3 linked regions of the Drosophila melanogaster genome follow. The protein of the gene in region 2 interacts with the protein of the main gene of each other region in a pairwise test. Each region holds a gene or a part of one and is shown on either strand. Other genes may lie near its edges.

Region 1 (6,307 bases), on a different chromosome or scaffold from region 2:
ATGAGGAGCTCTGAAAGGTCAAAAATGAAAATAAAACGAAATGTGGGGTGGCTTTAAACGAAGGACAGCTCATGCTCACCTGACTACTGGCTGCCGATACACCCACCGAGTGTATGGAGTGTTCCGAAGTAATACTATTGCTCTTGCTGCTGTCGCCGCCGGCATGGTCGTCCTGTTGGTCGTCGGTGTCGCCCACGGCGCTCTCCGTCTCGCAGGTGTCCACCATGAGTATCTTCTTCATCTTGCGGTAATTGAGGTTGTCCAGCTCGCGCACCGCTGACTTGGTGCGCGCGATCAGCTCCAGCAGCACGGTGTCGGAACGCGGTCGGGTCACGTAGGCGTGGGTCAACAGCTTGGCCGACGAGGGTCGCTCTGCTGGCATCTTCTTGAGGCACAGTTCAACAAAGCTGCAAAACGCATCCGACCAGTCGTTCTTCTGTCGGGTTGAAATCGAATAGGTTTGATAATTGTTTATAACATTCAAATTGCACTTACTTAGTTTACTTTAAAATTGCTTTACAAAGTTCTGAATCATAAACACTTTTTTAAGCAGAATCTGGAGGCTCTACTATACAAATGGGTAAAATATAACTTGCCCCAGCCCCAAAAGTGGGAAATAAAACAATAACACTAGGGACACATGAGAGCGATACGTAAATAAATACATTGGCATACTTCAGTTTTGCTATCAAAACAGACTCCTACCAAGAAATTAAAACTTCGATTGCTACTCACCGGAAGAGTCGGCGACTCATTCTGCGCAATGTGGTAGAGCGCCGACATGGCGTTCATGTTAAAGTAGGGAGGCTTGCGCTCTGCCAGTTCGATGCAGGTGATGCCCAGCGACCACACGTCCACCTTGCCGTCGTATTGGCCCTCGTCCATGGCCAGGATCACCTCGGGCGCCATCCAATAGGGCGTGCCGACAAAACTGTTGGCCGGACACTTGATGGCAGCGCTACCGAAATCGGCCAGCTTGACGACGCCGTTGTCCGTGAGCAGGATGTTGCCCGCCTTGATGTCACGGTGGATGCGGCCCAGCGAGTGCAGATAGCTCAACCCACTGAGCACGCCCAGACAGATGGCGGCGATCTCGTCCTCGTGCAGCGGCTTCTTGTGCACCTCGATGATGTCCGAGGCGGAGCCCACGCAGTACTCCATCACCAGCCAGGCGGTTGATTCGCGCAAATAGCATCCCTTGTATTCTATGGTGTTCGGGTGGTTCAATTGGCGAAGGAAGCTGTTGTGTACACATAAATTGATTAGAAGTCACTCGGGCGAACGCAAGTGTCAGCCAGTGCTCACCGTATCTCTTTGAGAATATCCTGCCACTTCTCCTGGCTCTGCTTGCCGGTGTACGACATCTTTTTGATGGCCACGATCTCCCTGGTGAGGTTGCATCGCGCATAATAGACCGCGCCGAAAGACCCATGGCCGATTTCGCGCAGGTCCTCGAAGATTTTCTCCGGGTCATGCTTGTTGAATAGGTCGGCTATTTCCGGATCCTTGAGACTACCAGGTCGTGCCGAAGGCATGGCTGTCTTTCATGCTCTAGCCCAGCTCTCTCAGTGGTCGACCTGCGTGCTTCTCCTCGCAGCTTGCAGCTCCAGCTGGCTACTCTGCTGTCTTGAAGTTCTGTGCGGATCGGGTGGGGCGAAAAAAAGGCGATTCCGGTTAGTCAGTCACATTCACAGCCTGCGCCAGTCACTTAGTCATGTTCAAAGGGTCGACATTTTTGGGGGATTTCAGGCTGAAACGCTGAGACTGCGGACCAATTGAATTGGGCGGCACGGGGCGTAGCGGGAATGGCTGGGCCAGTGGACAGTGGGCACTGTGCTTTGGTCAGCATTTGCATGGGGAGACGGTCAAACGGACGGACGGATGGGAACAGCTAAAAGCCGACTATCATCAAATCGATCAAGTGATTCATGCTCGCACATACTGTACGAATCATTCAAAACTCCGAATTCCGCACGCAGCACGGCCTTATCGCAAATATATTCACTGTTGGCACCGTCTTTTATGGCCAGGCTATTTTCCTCAGCTTGTTACCAACTTGTCAGCTGCTTTTTGGCCAGATTACGACAGCTGGGGTGTAAGTGGTCTAGGGCATTTGGCAGTCGGTATGACTAACGCCGTTAAGTTCATTTGCTTGGATTTCGAACAAGTAATGAGTGGAGTGGATGCGCACGTGCAGTAGGGCGGTATTTGTGGTCAAGCTGGACTAACTAGCTAGGTGTAGGGTATGCACACGTGCTGCAGGGTAATCAAAGGTCGTTACGACTGACACACAAACACACGCGAGCTGCCAAGGAGTAACGGCACCAAAGGGGTGCATTTATCGCCGTTGCGAATCCAAATACACACACACACATGCATACATTGGAGTATGCATGTCTGTGCATGCGGAGGCGTTTTGCGGGCGTCTGCGGATATCCGCCGGCTAAAGACGCGGATTTTGGCCCCCGTCGGAGCTCCGGCTTTCGCCTATCGCCGCCTGGCAAAAATTCTCAATACAATTAGTCCGCTGTGGTGCGGCGACTGCAATTCTTTGCCTGCGACGCGAAACAGAAACACGCCTATTTTTCATAGCCACCACACTATTGCACAAAGAGCAGCCATGTCGCTCACACACACTCACGCGCGCGCTCTATATGTATATGTGCGGTGGGATTGCTTGTTGTTTTGCATTTCGGGCGACACAAATTCAATTCAATTCGTGCCTTTTCCGTGGCTTGCACTGTGCTGTGGCGCTCCGTCACAGGGAATTGTAGTAGAATACCAAAGAGTTCTGCGATTCGAATTGATTTTCAGTTGGGTTGGCTTTTCCTTGGGTGCGGACTAGGCACACACCGAAGGAGCCGAAAAAGAACGCACGAAGGCGGTGATGCTGCGCCAGTTGTTGGTTTTCTTCGTTGACTGACCACTTATTGACTGATTACCATGGTTGATCTATGTGTTGCGATTAAAATTGGCTTATTTCGCTGCATTTTGCAACTGTTTTGAATCGCCTAATTTTGTTTTGCTTGCACACACACACACTCACGCTCGTCGGGGGAGCAGACAAATACACACACATTCGTATGGTTCGACTGGTGCTATCCCGTTCTCGCGCGTTGAGGGAGTCGTCGCACCGAAATCAGATGTAGCACTCAGAACCCGCAAATGCGCTGTATTTGATTGAAATTTGTGGGATCAATGATAATACCACATTGTTAATTCAATGGGCAGATGGCACACAAGAAATTCGCATTTATTGGCCAAAACGCAAACGCGAAAAAGAACAGTATGCACATACACACACGTACACGAGCATACGCATTCACACACACAGGCACACACGCACACAGGGATGGAGAGACAGTGGAAAATGCATAAATCTGGCGAGGCGAAAAAGAAAAAACGTTTGAACTTTTTCCACTGCGTTCGAGGGCTTACATTTGGCAATCAATTAGTGCTTGCTTGTTTATCGGCGCAACTGGGTCTCGCTTTTCGCATCTGTATGCATTTTTCCCTTTCATACGTCGCTTTCCCTACGACCGCTGCTGCTGTTATTGGCCCTGCTGCGACTGGGAACGGGAATCGGAATGGGACTGGTAGTGGTAGTGATACTGCTACTGGGAATGGCAACTATTGCCCTGCACTGCACACGCGTTGCGTTCACGAATCCGCACTGGCTACACATCTCGAGTGCCAAGCACCGAATTCGGGGGATCGTTACGTCGCAGATGCACCCATCTACGGCATGGAAAATTGGCAGCGATTGTCTATTTGCAACTTTTCTTCACCCGTTTCTCTAATTAAATTCCGTAAAGTTCACGTTCACACAGCACACAGTGTTACCAGATCAGCCGAGCGGCTTGAAACCAAAAACTACCACTGACCGCTTTTTACTAAAAAATCCCGATTTTAGGCGATATATTTAAAATTAACTTATTTTTTTCAATATGTTTGCGAAGTTAACTCTTGCAGAGGCGTTTTTATAGTTGAATTCGCTCAATTCAATTAGTTTTAAGAGAAAAGGTTCGTTTTTTGGTCTCTATCGATAGTCTATCGAACGTGCACCGGGTGGTGATGTCCGTGGTTACGCTATCGTTTTGGAATTATTAGTTTTTTTTTTTAATGTTTGAAAATCAATAATTTAACTTATACAGAATTCTGCAGAATTACAGCTCACGAAATCGCAGTTGGGTATCTATGTTAGAAGAACACATATATGTATCAAATTTTTAATAACTTTTTAATAGCTCAGTTCGCTAAGTCAAATACCGATACTCATCGCAACAAGTTTGGCGCACTTTTTGAAAACATACTGATAATTTCATGATACGGTATTTACTTAGCTATTTAACGCCCTCCTAGTTAATATAAATTACGGGGAACTTACATTATTACTTTATTTGATATGTTATTTACAACTATGCAAACTGGGAATACAAAAAAATGGATGCTTATATTTAAAATAGTTTATGTTCAATTTTAAGCACACTGCAACACATAAGCTATACATATGTACATACACATAATATATCAAGCTGCGAAGTTAATTTTATTGCCCACGTTGGAAAAATGAGAAACTCTACCGCTTAATTATAGAAGTACTGCTGCTGATTGAAAGTTGGGAAGCGATTCGTGTTGCCAAGCTCGAGGGGCGGGAAGTAGCCTTGGGATGATGCGGGAATACCAGAAGCACCCGCTGAACCCTGATCCTGACCCCCATCCTGACCCGCATCCTGAGCCCGCTGTCCAGCAAACGGCTGCCCAAAGTCGTCATCGCTCTCGTAGTTGACCAAAAATCGCGAAGCACTTGGTGGGGGAGAAGCAGGTTGGGAGTCAGGCCCATCTGCAGTGACAGGAAATGCAGCCGCATCCGGATCGGCAACTGAGTCCGGGTCCTGGGAGTCAACTAAGTCTCCGCTGTCTGGGTCAGCCGCCGCCGTCGCCTCCGCCACGGCTCGCGACCTAAAGAAGGTATCTGCAAAGTGTCGGAGAGAACCCAATTGTACGGCAGTTAGTTAAGAGGTTTCGTATTTTACCAGTAGGTTGTGCGTACTGATAGATAAGGCGGTCGCCCAGCTGGGCGGGACGCCGCTGTTGAGGATCGGGCTGCTGGGGTCGTGGGCGCGGCCGTGGCCTTGGGCGTGGCGGAGCTGTGGGCGGCGGCGGAGGAGGTGGAGGCGGTGGAGGTTCAGCTGGCGCCGCTGGCTGCGCATCATAGTCATAGTCGTAGTCATAGTTCGGCGGAGGAGGCGGTGCCAGTGTCGTTGGGCGTGGACGTGGTCGCACCTGCGGTCGGACGCGTCTAGGTGGCTGTGTAGTGGGCGGCGCAGGCGCTGGAGGTCGTGGTGCCGGAGGATCAGCGTAGTCCACATCGAAGGCCCCGGGCAGGAAACCGGAACTGAAGAACGGATGCCAGATGGGCTTACGAATGCGTATCGGAGCAGGTGGTGGTGGCGGAGGCGGCGTCGTCGTGGTGGTCGTCGGTGGACGACGTGTGGTCCGCGCCAGATTGGCCTTAGCCGAGGACAGCTGGGCGCTCTTGAGCAGCAGGTTACGCAGGAGCAGGCCAAAGTCCAGGGTGATGGTGCCTCGCTTTTCTCGCGCCACCTCCGTGTCCTGCGGCCCAGGATCGGCTGAGATCAGCGCCAGGAGCAGGCCCACCAACAGCAGGGCCATCAACTGCAGACGTAACATCCTCATCCTGACGGATCAAAGAGTATGTGTGTACCGCTCGAAAGGCCGTTCCAATCAGAACTGGCGCTGGTCAGCGCTGGAGTCGCCTGCCTGTACTCCAACGGAGTGGTGCCACGCGGGCCTGGGCGTCGCGGATTAAGTGCCCCCCCAAAGTCAACTAGTTAGACGGGTTAGCTGCGACCGTCCGCCTGGATCTCGTAATCGCAGACCCCGCCGACTGCCGGCGGTTATCAACGAGTTCAGTGCGTGGCAACAATTACTTTTGCACTACTTTTGCGCCAGTTTATAGATCGTAAGTGCAGCTCGAACTATGCATAATGCTTAGCGGCGAGTGCATTTTAAGAGGCTAAACAACACGCACCGTGGGACTAGAACTCCATATACCCACCTATATATATACCATACATACACATAGCATATACCATATAGTAGAGCTGCCTCCAACATAAGGGATTGATATACACAAGGGAACTAACTATCTGCAAGCTCATTAAGTATCTATACTATTTAGATTGTTCTGTGTCGAGTACGAATCTACATGTTTTAAAACCCTAACAAAATATCAATAATTCACAGATAAGTTTCCCATAAGATAGGGAAATCATTCATAGAT
Region 2 (5,465 bases):
AAGTTCATGGCTTTTTGCCTTTGAGTCCCACCAATCCCATCCGCCAAAGAAGTGTTCGAAATTTAAATGAAGCTCTGGTAATGAGAAACCAAGACTGTTTTTCTTTAAGCTTAATTCTAGCCCAAAAGTACGATTGCCCCAAAAGTAATAATGGAAAATTTATAATGAGTGAAATAACAATTCTAAGTCTAAGAAGAGCCCAAAGCAGTTCTGCAAAGTCCCTTTGATAATAAAACCATAAAATTCAATAGCCAAATCATAATATGCAAATGATGGCCAGTGAAAAAAACAAGGCTTAAATACTTTAAATAAGTTTGAAGCCCAGCACCCGTGGCAGAATCGACAAACTTGATGGATGGCGAAGGGATACGGAGCGTGAACTTGACTCTGAACTGTGAAAAATGGAGTGCTGATGGAAGTGTAAAAATGCCAGCATGCAGTAAAACGTCGGCCATAAAACATGTCGTACAGTTGCACATAAAAATTGGGGAAGGTGCTACCAATACCACACCTGACTAGCTGACTCGCTGACAGAATGTCAAGATCTGAGCTCGGTTTGAAATTGATTTACATGGGCCATATGGCTAAGGGCTTACCATGGGGCTTTGTTGTGTGCCAACTGCCATTAAATGGCTAATTAAGATTTCAGTCCGCTGGCAGTCGTCCAGCAGCTGGCCGCAAATCTCACGCCTTTTCAAATCCCTTTTTTTGGTACCCGATTTTCCGACCCGTTGGTATATAAAACACAAAAGCGCGCGAAGTTACACAAACAAAGGGGGGTCCAAAAAACAGGACTATCTCGCGCACACACGCAGTCACGCAAATACAGAGCTGGCGACTCCGATTGGTCCTAGTAAATATGGCGCCAAACGAGTCGAGAATGTCGCCTTTTGGTACCTCCGTTCGGTTCGGTTCCCTCTGTCACTAGCACATCTATTCCATCAGACGGCGTTTTTTCTACTGATGAATGAATCGTACGCAGGATGCCAGGATGCGGAAAGTTTCCAGCATGCCGTGGACCAACAACCGGAAAGCTTTTACTACGTTGCGAGCTTTTACCCTTACCACAAGTCCGGGAAAAAGTCCTTAGGAATTCGACGAATGCTGAATACCCATTACTTAAGTTTTTGTTTGTGAAAGGAAATTGCTGAACTTAAAACCGAAATAACAAAGTACACGCCATTTGTGTATAATCTTCTGTACATTGGCACCTAGAATGAATAAAAATATTTGTTTTTCAAAGTCCAAGTTCAAAGTTTAAAGTCAAGAATGTAAGAATACATTTTAGAAGCTCAGTCGAAATTGGTTTATTTACTGCCAAATTTACGTTGAATTATGGTTTCGGTGGAAACCAACGATTATGTACAAGCGGAATATCATCAAGCGGAAGCTGTGAGCAGGGCGGCATGGTAGGCGATGTGTTCGGCGACGAACGTGGCGATGTAGAAGTAGCTGTGATCGTATCCCTCGCGCTGCTTGAAGATGGTCTGGATGTGATCATTGCCATCTGCGGCAGCCAGCAGGTTCTCCGGCAGCAGCTGCTTGCCGGCCAGGAAGTTGTCTGCTGCACCTTGGTCGATGAAGAGCTCCTGCGGAGTGCTCTCGTACTGCGACACCAGATGCGTGGCATCCCACAGGGCCCAGTCATCCGGATTGGAGCCCAGATAGCCGGCAAAGGCCTTCTTGCCCCACGGGCACTCGGTGGGATTGGCAATCGGCGCAAAAGCGGACACCGACTGGTACAGCCCGGGATTCTTAAGCGCGCAGATCAGGGCTCCGTGGCCGCCCATACTGTGGCCGAATATACCGCGTTTACCGGGAACCACGGGCAGATTGGCATTGACCACATCCACCAGCTCCTGGGTCACATAGCTGTACATCTTGTAGTGCTTCGACCACGGCTCCTCCTTTGCATCCACATAGAATCCAGCCCCGCTTCCAAAGTCGTATGCATCATCTTGGCCGGCAATTTCCACGCCCCTGGGCGAAGTGTCCGGATTGACGACGATCAGGTTGTGGCGGGCGGCGTGCTGCTGGAATCCGCTCTTCTGGATGAAGTTCTCATGCGTGCAGGTCAGTCCGCTGAGGAAGAACAGCACCGGACACGGTTTACCCTCCAAAGCGGCCGGCGGCAGGAAGACGCCAAAGGTCATGTCGCACTTCAAGGTGTCCGAGCGATGGCGATACACGCGTTGCTCGCCCTCGAAGCACTTATTTGCGGACAGCTGTTCGAGCGTCATGTTCTGGGGGTGAAACGGAGTAAATAATTTGTAAGCTAAAACTGAAATCCATTAATTTTTAAAAACGCACTTGTTTTTTGACGATCTAAAAATAACAAGCGATAAGAAAACAGTGTGACCGCGTGTAGAGCGCCAAAAGTGGGAAGCTTTCAGAACATCTTGGTATCGATGATTAAAAGGGTAGATCCCATAGGAGTTAATATTTTCTAGAATTCTTTAAATTAATATAAATCTATTAATTATTACATATTGATGATGTATTAAATATGTAAAAATTGCAATTATTACAAACGAATATATTCCTCATAAGTAAACATTGAATTTTAATGTGCCCGTTTCATACAAAAATACTAACTCCATAACGATTGTTACGCAAGTACCATCACTAGCCGGGAAGAAGAAGCGCCAGTTGGCGAAATTGCTATTGTTAATTGTTGTTAACGTGAATTACTAGATAAGTACATAAATTTAAAAGCCGGAGAATGTCGGAAGAAGCGGCTAGCACCTCGTCCTTTGGCTTCAAGAAGCGGAACCTCAAGAAGGGAGCTGGAATTCGTCGCAAAAAGGAAACCAGCAGTGATGAATCTGGTAGGAACTTAATTTTACCGCCAACAAAGTAAATGGGCAAATATTATTGATATTCCAGCAAAAAGCAGCGATGAAGAGACCAAAGGCAAAGCCAGTGCTCTGGTGCGAGCCGAGAACCGCCGAAAGCGCACGAATCCCAACTTCCAGAGCACCAAGACAATGAGCAAAGCAAAGAGACAGGCGGGAGGAGTTGGTGATGATGGCTCATCCTCAGCCTCCGACGATGATAAACTGGGCATTGCGTACAAATCCAAACGCGAGGCGCTGCCCAGTGGACCCCAAGATCAGGGAGCTACATCGATTAACGAAATGGACACAGAATTGGATCGCGATGCGCAGGCAATTCATGCGCGAGCTCTGAAAATCAACGAAGAGCTGGAGGGCAAGGCGGACGATAAGATCTATCGCGGAATTAACAACTATGCGCAGTACTACAAGAAGCAGGATACAGCGGCAGGGAATGCCAGCTCCGGAATGGTACGAAGTGGCCCAATTAGGGCTCCTGCCCATCTTAGGGCCACTGTCAGGTGGGATTATCAGCCGGATATATGCAAGGATTACAAGGAAACAGGATATTGCGGCTTTGGCGACAGCTGTAAGTTTCTGCACGATCGCAGTGATTACAAAGCGGGCTGGCAATTGGAAATGGATCACGAAAATCAGCGAACGGGTGATGTAGACTCCGATGGCGATGATACCAAGTATGAGATTCACTCCGATGAAGAAACACTGCCTTTCAAGTGCCACATCTGCCGACAGAGTTTTGTCAATCCCGTGGTAACAAAGTATGAAGATGATAACGATTTCTAAACTGGATTTACTGAATAAATAACATATTTATCTTTCTTCCAGGTGCAAGCACTATTTCTGTGAAAAGTGCGCCTTGGCCCAGTACAAAAAGTCACAGCGCTGCATCATCTGTTCCCAGCAAACAAATGGTATTTTCAATCCCGCCAAAGAGCTGATAGCTCGCCTCAAGACAAACCCAATGGAAAACTCAGATAGTGATGAGGAGGAGGAATTTGGGAAAAAGGAGGATAAAGCGGAAGCAGGGGAGGAAGCTCAGGAGATTTCTTCGGATGATAGTGATTAAAATATTTTTTTAAATCATTTATACAGGTTGTGAAAGTAAATAGGGACATTGATTAGATGCTTCACATAAAATCCATTTTACAGCACATTTGCCGCATAAGTGTAGAAAGTAAAGTAAGGATTGTACCACCGATAGGTGGCGTGTAAGAAATTGTAAAACCCTTTGCCCCAAAGAGAATTGCTGATAAATCACTATTCTTACTTGTAACTAGAAAAATATATTTTGATAAGTTTTCAACCAAGAAATACTAGTTCTGTGGTATTTATTAAAATTTTTACTTATTTTTGGGCGATCTATTACGATTGGTTAACATACAAATTATGCACAGCAGTTCATCTGTAAGTTGTTTTAACACGTATATATGTATGTATTCATTATTATTTATAATTCATACTAAAATTTGATACATAGGGACGGGACTGGAAAGTTAATCGTGAAAAGCATTTTATAAAATTAATCACAACGAGGATTTTATATTAATGTTTAGTCCGCAGGACCTAAAAGCCTTACTCACCTCGGTCATAATGTGGCCAAAACTGAGCACAATGCTCCGTCGCTTGGGAAGATTTGAACAGGCGACTATGGAATATACGAATGAGCTTCTACCACTCACACTGGGCAGACGAAGGAAATTTCTTCCCATTCCCAAGGGAGCTGCAATAACTTTGTGATTTCGATCGAGTATTGCTTGACGTTTGAAACGATCAAAGGCCAACTTTGACCAAATTTAAACTTGGCAAGCAACTGAAACTACTGCCTTCTTGAAGCGGCAAAATTTTGGCCCAATCTTATAGCCATAATTTAATTGTCAGCACTTTCATTTCCCGTTTCGCTCGCATCAGAAAGCACAGGCACAGAAAGTAGGGGAATTGGAAGCTGGGAAACGTAGTAAAGCGGGCCAAACTTATACGGAAGTGAATTCGTTTGACTTTTGCCCGCTAAAATCAAAACCTCCTGCCAAACTTCTAGGCCGCATTGTTTCACAGCACAAAGCCGAAATATTGGCCAGTGGTAACGAATCGATGCTTAGCCACAAATTCCAAAATCCATCCGGCTTCTCTGCCCACCCTTTTTCCCTAGCTCCGAGCATGCAAAATATGAGCACATAAGCCTTTAAAAGCAGCCCAGCTGCCCAGGATGAGCAAAAAGGATAAAACTTCTATTTTCCAGGATCCTAGCTGCCACAATGTCGAGCCGATTTTATTGGAGGGGTTTATGCAGAAGGTTTGCCTGTTCCTCTGGTTACGCATAATACTTTTACCTCGTTTGTATACACCATTCACATTTCTTTAAGACAGCCACTATTCAGATGCTGGTAATTGCTGCAGTAGGGAAATTTGCCTCTGCTGTGGATTTTTCCAAGGATAACAATCATCAAGCTGGCTCACGGCTATTAGGTCACGTTCGCATTTTCTCACATTTTATGTGCCACTCACTTATTGGCAGTGCAATGGTTAATTGAATGACAAAGTCGTGCATGAAGAACGCAACCTAATTGAGGAGGAGGCAATAATTGTTTCGACCTGCAAATCAGTTTTAATTAT
Region 3 (6,093 bases), on a different chromosome or scaffold from region 2:
TGCACGTAGCTCTTGATCACCGAGTAGATATACTGGGGAATTATAAAATTGATTAATTCGCGAGCAAAAGATAAAAGAATTAAATAAACAAGTTGTTCATATGACAGCTAAGAAAATAAACGTGGAAATCTAGTTTTCAGGATAAACATAAATGGAGAGCTAAACCTAATTCAATAACAAACATGTTATGAATCCTAATGAGGCTCGGCTGACAGAAGTTATAAATATTATTTCCGCGATCTGATGACAATGACTACTTATTTATAGACTCACTTGCTCCAATTGCTTGCTGTTGAAGGTGTCATTTCCACTTCTCTCCATTGAGCCCAGGAGCATTTGCATTTTCTGGTCAATAGTACCGCGTTCCATGATGTAGTAGGGCTCTCCAAATTTCTTCAGCTGAAGGTTGACACATTGCTGACCTGGCTTCGTGGGCGTAAATAGATACTGAGCCGTACTTTCGGCCAGGGATCTTTCGATGGTTTGCGACCAAGTTTCCTATTTTCGAAACAAAACAACAGATACATGTATATGTGTGTACATAAACAAAATGCGCGCCGGATACGTAAACATAATTTTCCCGCTGCTGTCAGCAAATTCTTGCAGGGAACGAAGGTCTGGGAAGCGCTGACACAGATTAACCCATTGAAGGACGTACAATGAATAATAATTTGGTTTGACTGAAAACAAAGTCTCTCAAGTTTTATGAAAATAAATACTACTTCAATGTATGTAAAGTTTCAATTTAGAGAGTTTCCGCTTAAATTACTCTATATGAATGCAAGTCTTATAATTTCCTCATTCTAAAAATCAACTATTTCACATGCCATGCTGTAAACGGGTTAAGCATATGGTTTATTTTTAATTCAATTGGGTTTGGCCCTAATTGACGACCCCAGTCATTGAAATCACGACTAATTCGTTAGCAAGCAAATTCAACAAAGCAAAAGACAAACAGTGAAATGCGGCAGCAAACAAATTAGACAAATTATGGACACGTTCGCACTGGCCCAGGAATTATCAATTCGAAACTGATAACGCCCGAGTTGAAGATATCGAATTTTGCTATACCCTAGGAAGCGCTGTGATAATCAAACACGAGCTATAAATAGATGGAAATATTATAAGGAAAAATCATCATCTGGTTACAAACAAACATTTTTTGAGTGGTTGCATTTCCGTCATCTGTGCTGTGATAAAAATAAAACACAAATCTGGGGCCTTGAACCCGCATCGGAAAAATTATAGCATAAATTGTGTATGATCAGATTGATTTAACTAAATGGGTTAAAATAACAATTTTGGAAAGTTACGTGTACATTTAATCTAAATAGGACTGACTAGTTTAGAAAATTACATTTTTAAACAAGTTGAATAATTTACTTTTTATAAACTCTGTTAAATTTCCTGGTTTGCACTTTAAATCGAAAAAGAACTGTATTAAAATAAGGTTTAGAAACTTTGAACTTTTGTATAATGCCGGATAATGTTGCGACTCACTCTCTTATATAACTAAGCTTCTTTTTCGGAACATAGTACTATGATTAACTTCAATGTTTAATCCTCGAAATAGGAGTTAGTGACAACAACAAATTAATGCCCTAAAGGATATACCCATTCAAGTGAAGGGTGGCCATCGCAGCAGGTGGATGGACGGCCGTTTGTCATGCACTCGAAAGTCCCGATTTCTCTTTTTTTGCCGAAGAAAGTTCACTCCGCGCGTCCTTGAACTTGTGACCCTGACCCTTCCGCAAATGCAGAATGCAGTTGCCATTGATTTTCGCAGTGCACACGTGGCACGGTAACTGGATTTACTTGACTTACCACCAATCTGTCTTGGGTCAACTTCTCAAGTGCTCCGCCAGAGGCGTTTTTGTACGCGGATTCCAGCATGCGTAGCTCTTCCGAATTGTAGAGATTATCCGTCTCCCGCTTGCCACTCGCATTTCCCATCTCAGGACACGAAATTCAGTTGGCTGGTGCTACGACGGCTGGTAAACAAACAATGCAGCTGCAGCTGCGGATGATCGCGGATTTTAATTGAAAATAAAAAACAAACAACACAAGCTGGTGATGGAATGGCAGTCGATTTCCCTGCGATACCCTCGATAGTTTCGGAAACGGGTAAATTTCGCGGTGGTCGTCTGCACTATGAATGGTTATTGTCTGTGCTAAGTCAGGTCGATGTATTTGCTAAACGGTTAATTTTAACCGCTAAGCGAATTCAACGAAGGCCAAGCGAATAAAATAAATTTTAAATGCCTTGGATAGCTGTAGTTAAAAATTTATTAAAATAAAAAAAAACTTACAAGTTTGAGCTAAGATACCTTTGCCCTAGCCCGGTATTTTTGAAATTATCTCAGTTACCTTAGCAACACGCCTTATTAAATCAATTGCCTGGCCTAATAAAGTTCTCCCACACAAAAACACAATAAATTCCGATACAAAACTGAAGAAAGCTGGCATACCGACAGATATTTCCGGAATACGATTGGCCAAATCTGTGAGTAATCCAACGCGAAAGGATGATTGGCACTAGCAGCGGAACGTCCCACAATCGGAGTCGAAAGAAGAAAGAACAGTGCGGATCCTGTCCCAACAGATTCTCAAAGGATAAGCGCCAGGTGGCCGCCGAGGACTCGGATACCACGGAGGTGGAATCGTCTACGGATGAGGAGGAACGCTGGAAGGAAGTGGCGCGAGCCGCTGAGATTCCGGCTGACTATTATAATATCCAAAAACTGGTGAAATACATCAAGGCGGGCAATCAGACAGCCACTATAGTATCGTTGTGCTGCTTGAAGGACTACGATCTGAGCACCCAGATCAATCAGTTCGCCATCTCGGACATCGGCGGACTCGATGTCTTGGTTAACATCCTGGAGTGCAGCGACACCAAGTGCTGTTTGGGCGCCCTCAAAGTTCTCTCAGATATCACACTGAACATCGATATTAGGAAGACCATCGTAGATCTGGATGGCATTCCCCTCATTGTGGACATCCTAAACTCTTCCATGAAGGACCTAAAAACCATGGCCGCCGAGACATTGGCCAATGTGTGCAAGGTGCGACTGGCCAGAAAGTATGTGCGCACCTGCGGAGGAATCCCCAAGCTGGTGGATCTCATCGACATCAAGTTGAGGTGAGTTGGCATTGGATAAAGTGCTTCATACTACATCACCACATATAAGAAATAATTAAAAAAAAACCTAATTATATTATAGCATTCTAAAGACGCCTCGTGACCAATTGAGTCCAGATGATCTGGAATCTCTCGATATGACACGCGCTGGAGCCCGGGCTCTTTTCACTCTGGCCGATTCCAAGCACAACATGGAGCAGATGCGCAAGAGCGGAATTGTTCCTTTGATGGCTCAGCTCCTTAAGTCCTGTCACATCGATGTCGTCATTCCCATAATGGGCACCGTTCGAAAGTGCTCCTCGGAGCCGAAGTTCCAACTGGCCATCACCACCGAGGGCATGATTCCCGACATTGTGAGCCATCTGAGTTCCGAAAATACCGAGCTGAAGATGGAGGGCAGTACAGCGATCTACAAGTGCGCCTTCGACGGAACCACCAGGGATTTGGTGAGGGAGGCTGGGGGCTTGGAACCTTTGGTAACTATCATAAAGGACAAGAATGTGAGGGAAAATAAGCCTTTATTGAGAGGCGCCACTGGAGCGATTTGGATGTGTGCCGTAACCGATGCAAATGTCAAAGTGCTGGATCAACTCAGGACGGTGAACCACCTGGTGGCCTTGCTAAATGATGAGTGTGACGAGGTCCTGACCAACGTGACCGGAGCTATATCTGAATGTGTGAGATTTCAAAGCAATAGGGAGCAACTGCGTCAGGCTGGAGGATTACCAGCAATGGTTTCCCTACTCAACAGTTCTCACGCCCCTCTTCTGGAAAATTTAGCCAAGGGATTGAAGGAGTGTGCCGAAGATCCGGACAGCATGAGAATCCTTGAGGATCTGGATGCGGTCAGGCTGATATGGTCGCTATTGAAGAACCCCACAACTAGGGTTCAGGCCCATGCGGCTTACGCCATATGTCCCTGTGTTCGAAATGCCAACGATTCCGCTGAATTGGTCAGGAGCTTGGTTGGCGCCATGGAACTGGTGGTGGGTCTGCTAAAGTCCAAGGATATCATGGTCTTATCCGCCGTTTGTGCTGCCATTGCAACAATTGCCCAGGATCAAACCAATCTAGCCATCTTAACCGATCTGAAAGTCATCTACAAGCTAGCCGATCTCGTCCAGACCACCGACGACCTCCTTCGAATGAACTTGGCAGCTGCCGTGGCCGCCTGTGCCTGCTTCGGTAATAATACGGAGGAACTGGGACGTCTGCGTACTGTCACTCCGATTGTCACCTACATGACCAGCGACAATCCCTTGGTGCACCGCAGCACGGCCATGGCACTGGAGAAGCTATCGATGGATCCGCAGAACTGCATTACCATGCACCAGGTACATTTCTTCTACCTAATCACACTTAGCAACTCATTTAGATTCTTTTATTTTACTTCAGAGTGGAGTTGTTCCTTTCCTGCTGGAGTGCATTGGATCCACTAACAAGGAGCTCCAGTTGGCCGCCGCTGGTTGTCTGCGCAATATCCGCGAATTGGCCTTGCGTGCCGAGGAATATCTGCTTAAAATCGACGATGACTAGCTTCCTGTTTTTTTTTCTTTGTTAAGTTATTTAATTGTATTTGACGAAATATATGTGTGTATGCCGATGCTACCAATTTCTTGCATTTTTAGCAAATAAATTAATAAGTTAGTAAATTTTTAAACCAGAAATCCCAGAAAAATATGTTTCATTTTCCATGACAATAACATCTAGCTATATAATTATATATTTGTCGCTACATATTTTGACTAACTAAGCTCGACCCACCCTGCATAAAATTCCACTCTAGTAACTGGCATTACTGCCCCTGGTGGAAATGCTCATCCGTCGCTCCACGCGATTCGTGTGTGGCAGCAGGCATCCCGGCGGTGGATACCGCCATCTACGTGGTCGGGACAACAGGGTGCCGTCCGTCGAAGCTCTACTACGGAAGGGAGCATCGATGTCGCTGCGTGAGCTGCTCAAACTGCTACTCGTAATCTCATCCGTAGACTCCGTATGGTCACCGTTGCTCTCCTCCAAACAGGCGCTTCCGATGACCAGAAAGGAATGTCGACCGACGCCCAAAGACGAGGCATCGTAGAAGGAACAGGATCCCGAATCGGGCGTGAGGATTCCATCCGTATTGGCCACATCGCTGGTGGAGCGCTTGAGCTTGGGGAATTTGCTGAAGACTCGCCAGAAGCGAAACACATCGCGAAAAACATTCTGCACCTGGTTGGAATGAGTGAATAAACAAATCGTATATTTATAAGGTGCCATGTGATGGTAAATGGAAGATTAATTTATCAGACAAAAGTTTAATTTCACTTCACCTTAATAAAGAAATCTTTTGTAAGAAAATTTTTCCTCTTACTTGATCCACGCTCTCTCTGACGGAAATCTCGTGAAAACAGGAGCAGGATAACTCCCTGAATCGGCGCTGACCCTCTTCCAAGCTGACCATTCGATCGCCCGGCTGATCTGTCTTATTGCCCACCAGTATGACAGGAATATCCAGTGCGTATTCCTGGAAATATGGTATATAAATAAGCTTCCTATAGGTGGTTCAAAATTAAGTAATTTACTAACTTTACTGGCCGAGCCCAACTTGCGTCTTCGTTTATTGTAATTGATGAGGAACTTTAGGCGACTGCACTCGTCGAAGGAACACTTGTCCGTAATGGAGTACATTAGTATAAATGCGTCGGCCCAGCGGATGTTGGACTCCAGACTAACTCCATCTAGTTCCTACATGAAATGGTCTTTAATGTCTTGCAAAATGAAAAATGCAATTTAAAACCCACTTGTAGCTGACCGGTGGCGTCCAGAATGTCAAACTGAATCTGCTCCTTGTCCAGCGTGGTTTGGCAGGTGTAAATCTTCTCCAGATTAGGATCATACTCGCCAATGAAGCGTCGGGTAATAAAACGCACCACCATGGCTAAATGGGAAAGTCCCTTCAGTTTGGGTTC

What was found.
Region 1: the proteins of mdlc (region 2) and Tao interact in a two-hybrid assay, tested with the Drosophila melanogaster proteins (one large-scale study listed by BioGRID).
Region 3: the proteins of mdlc (region 2) and gudu interact in a two-hybrid assay, tested with the Drosophila melanogaster proteins (one large-scale study listed by BioGRID).

Annotation. Positions count from the first base shown.
Region 1 is NC_004354.4:19,575,960-19,582,266, forward strand, and holds the start of Tao (Tao), read right to left. Parts: upstream 3,842-6,307; 5' UTR 3,439-3,841; intron 2,544-3,438; exon of another isoform or gene 1,943-2,543; intron 1,636-1,942; 5' UTR 1,536-1,635; coding exon 1,306-1,535; intron 1,241-1,305; coding exon 736-1,240; intron 437-735; coding exon 80-436; intron 11-79; coding exon 1-10. Other genes in the region: CG14218 (uncharacterized protein), read right to left, coding at 4,587-4,975, 5,037-5,700. UniProt on the Drosophila melanogaster protein: Serine/threonine-protein kinase which regulates the Hippo/SWH (Sav/Wts/Hpo) signaling pathway, a signaling pathway that plays a pivotal role in organ size control and tumor suppression by restricting proliferation and promoting apoptosis.
Region 2 is NT_033777.3:20,055,132-20,060,596, forward strand, and holds mdlc (midlife crisis), read left to right. Parts: upstream 1-2,616; 5' UTR 2,617-2,722; coding exon 2,723-2,828; intron 2,829-2,886; coding exon 2,887-3,613; intron 3,614-3,680; coding exon 3,681-3,921; 3' UTR 3,922-4,160; downstream 4,161-5,465. Other genes in the region: CG4390 (uncharacterized protein), read right to left, coding at 1,380-2,243, 4,436-4,564.
Region 3 is NT_033779.5:7,386,151-7,392,243, forward strand, and holds gudu (gudu), read left to right. Parts: upstream 1-2,357; 5' UTR 2,358-2,525; coding exon 2,526-3,142; intron 3,143-3,224; coding exon 3,225-4,476; intron 4,477-4,537; coding exon 4,538-4,678; 3' UTR 4,679-4,752; downstream 4,753-6,093. Other genes in the region: CG5149 (uncharacterized protein), read right to left, coding at 1-32, 274-498, 1,825-1,953; CG5160 (uncharacterized protein), read right to left, coding at 4,925-5,353, 5,496-5,648, 5,711-5,869, 5,926-6,062. UniProt on the Drosophila melanogaster protein: Important for spermatogenesis where it may have a role in sperm individualization.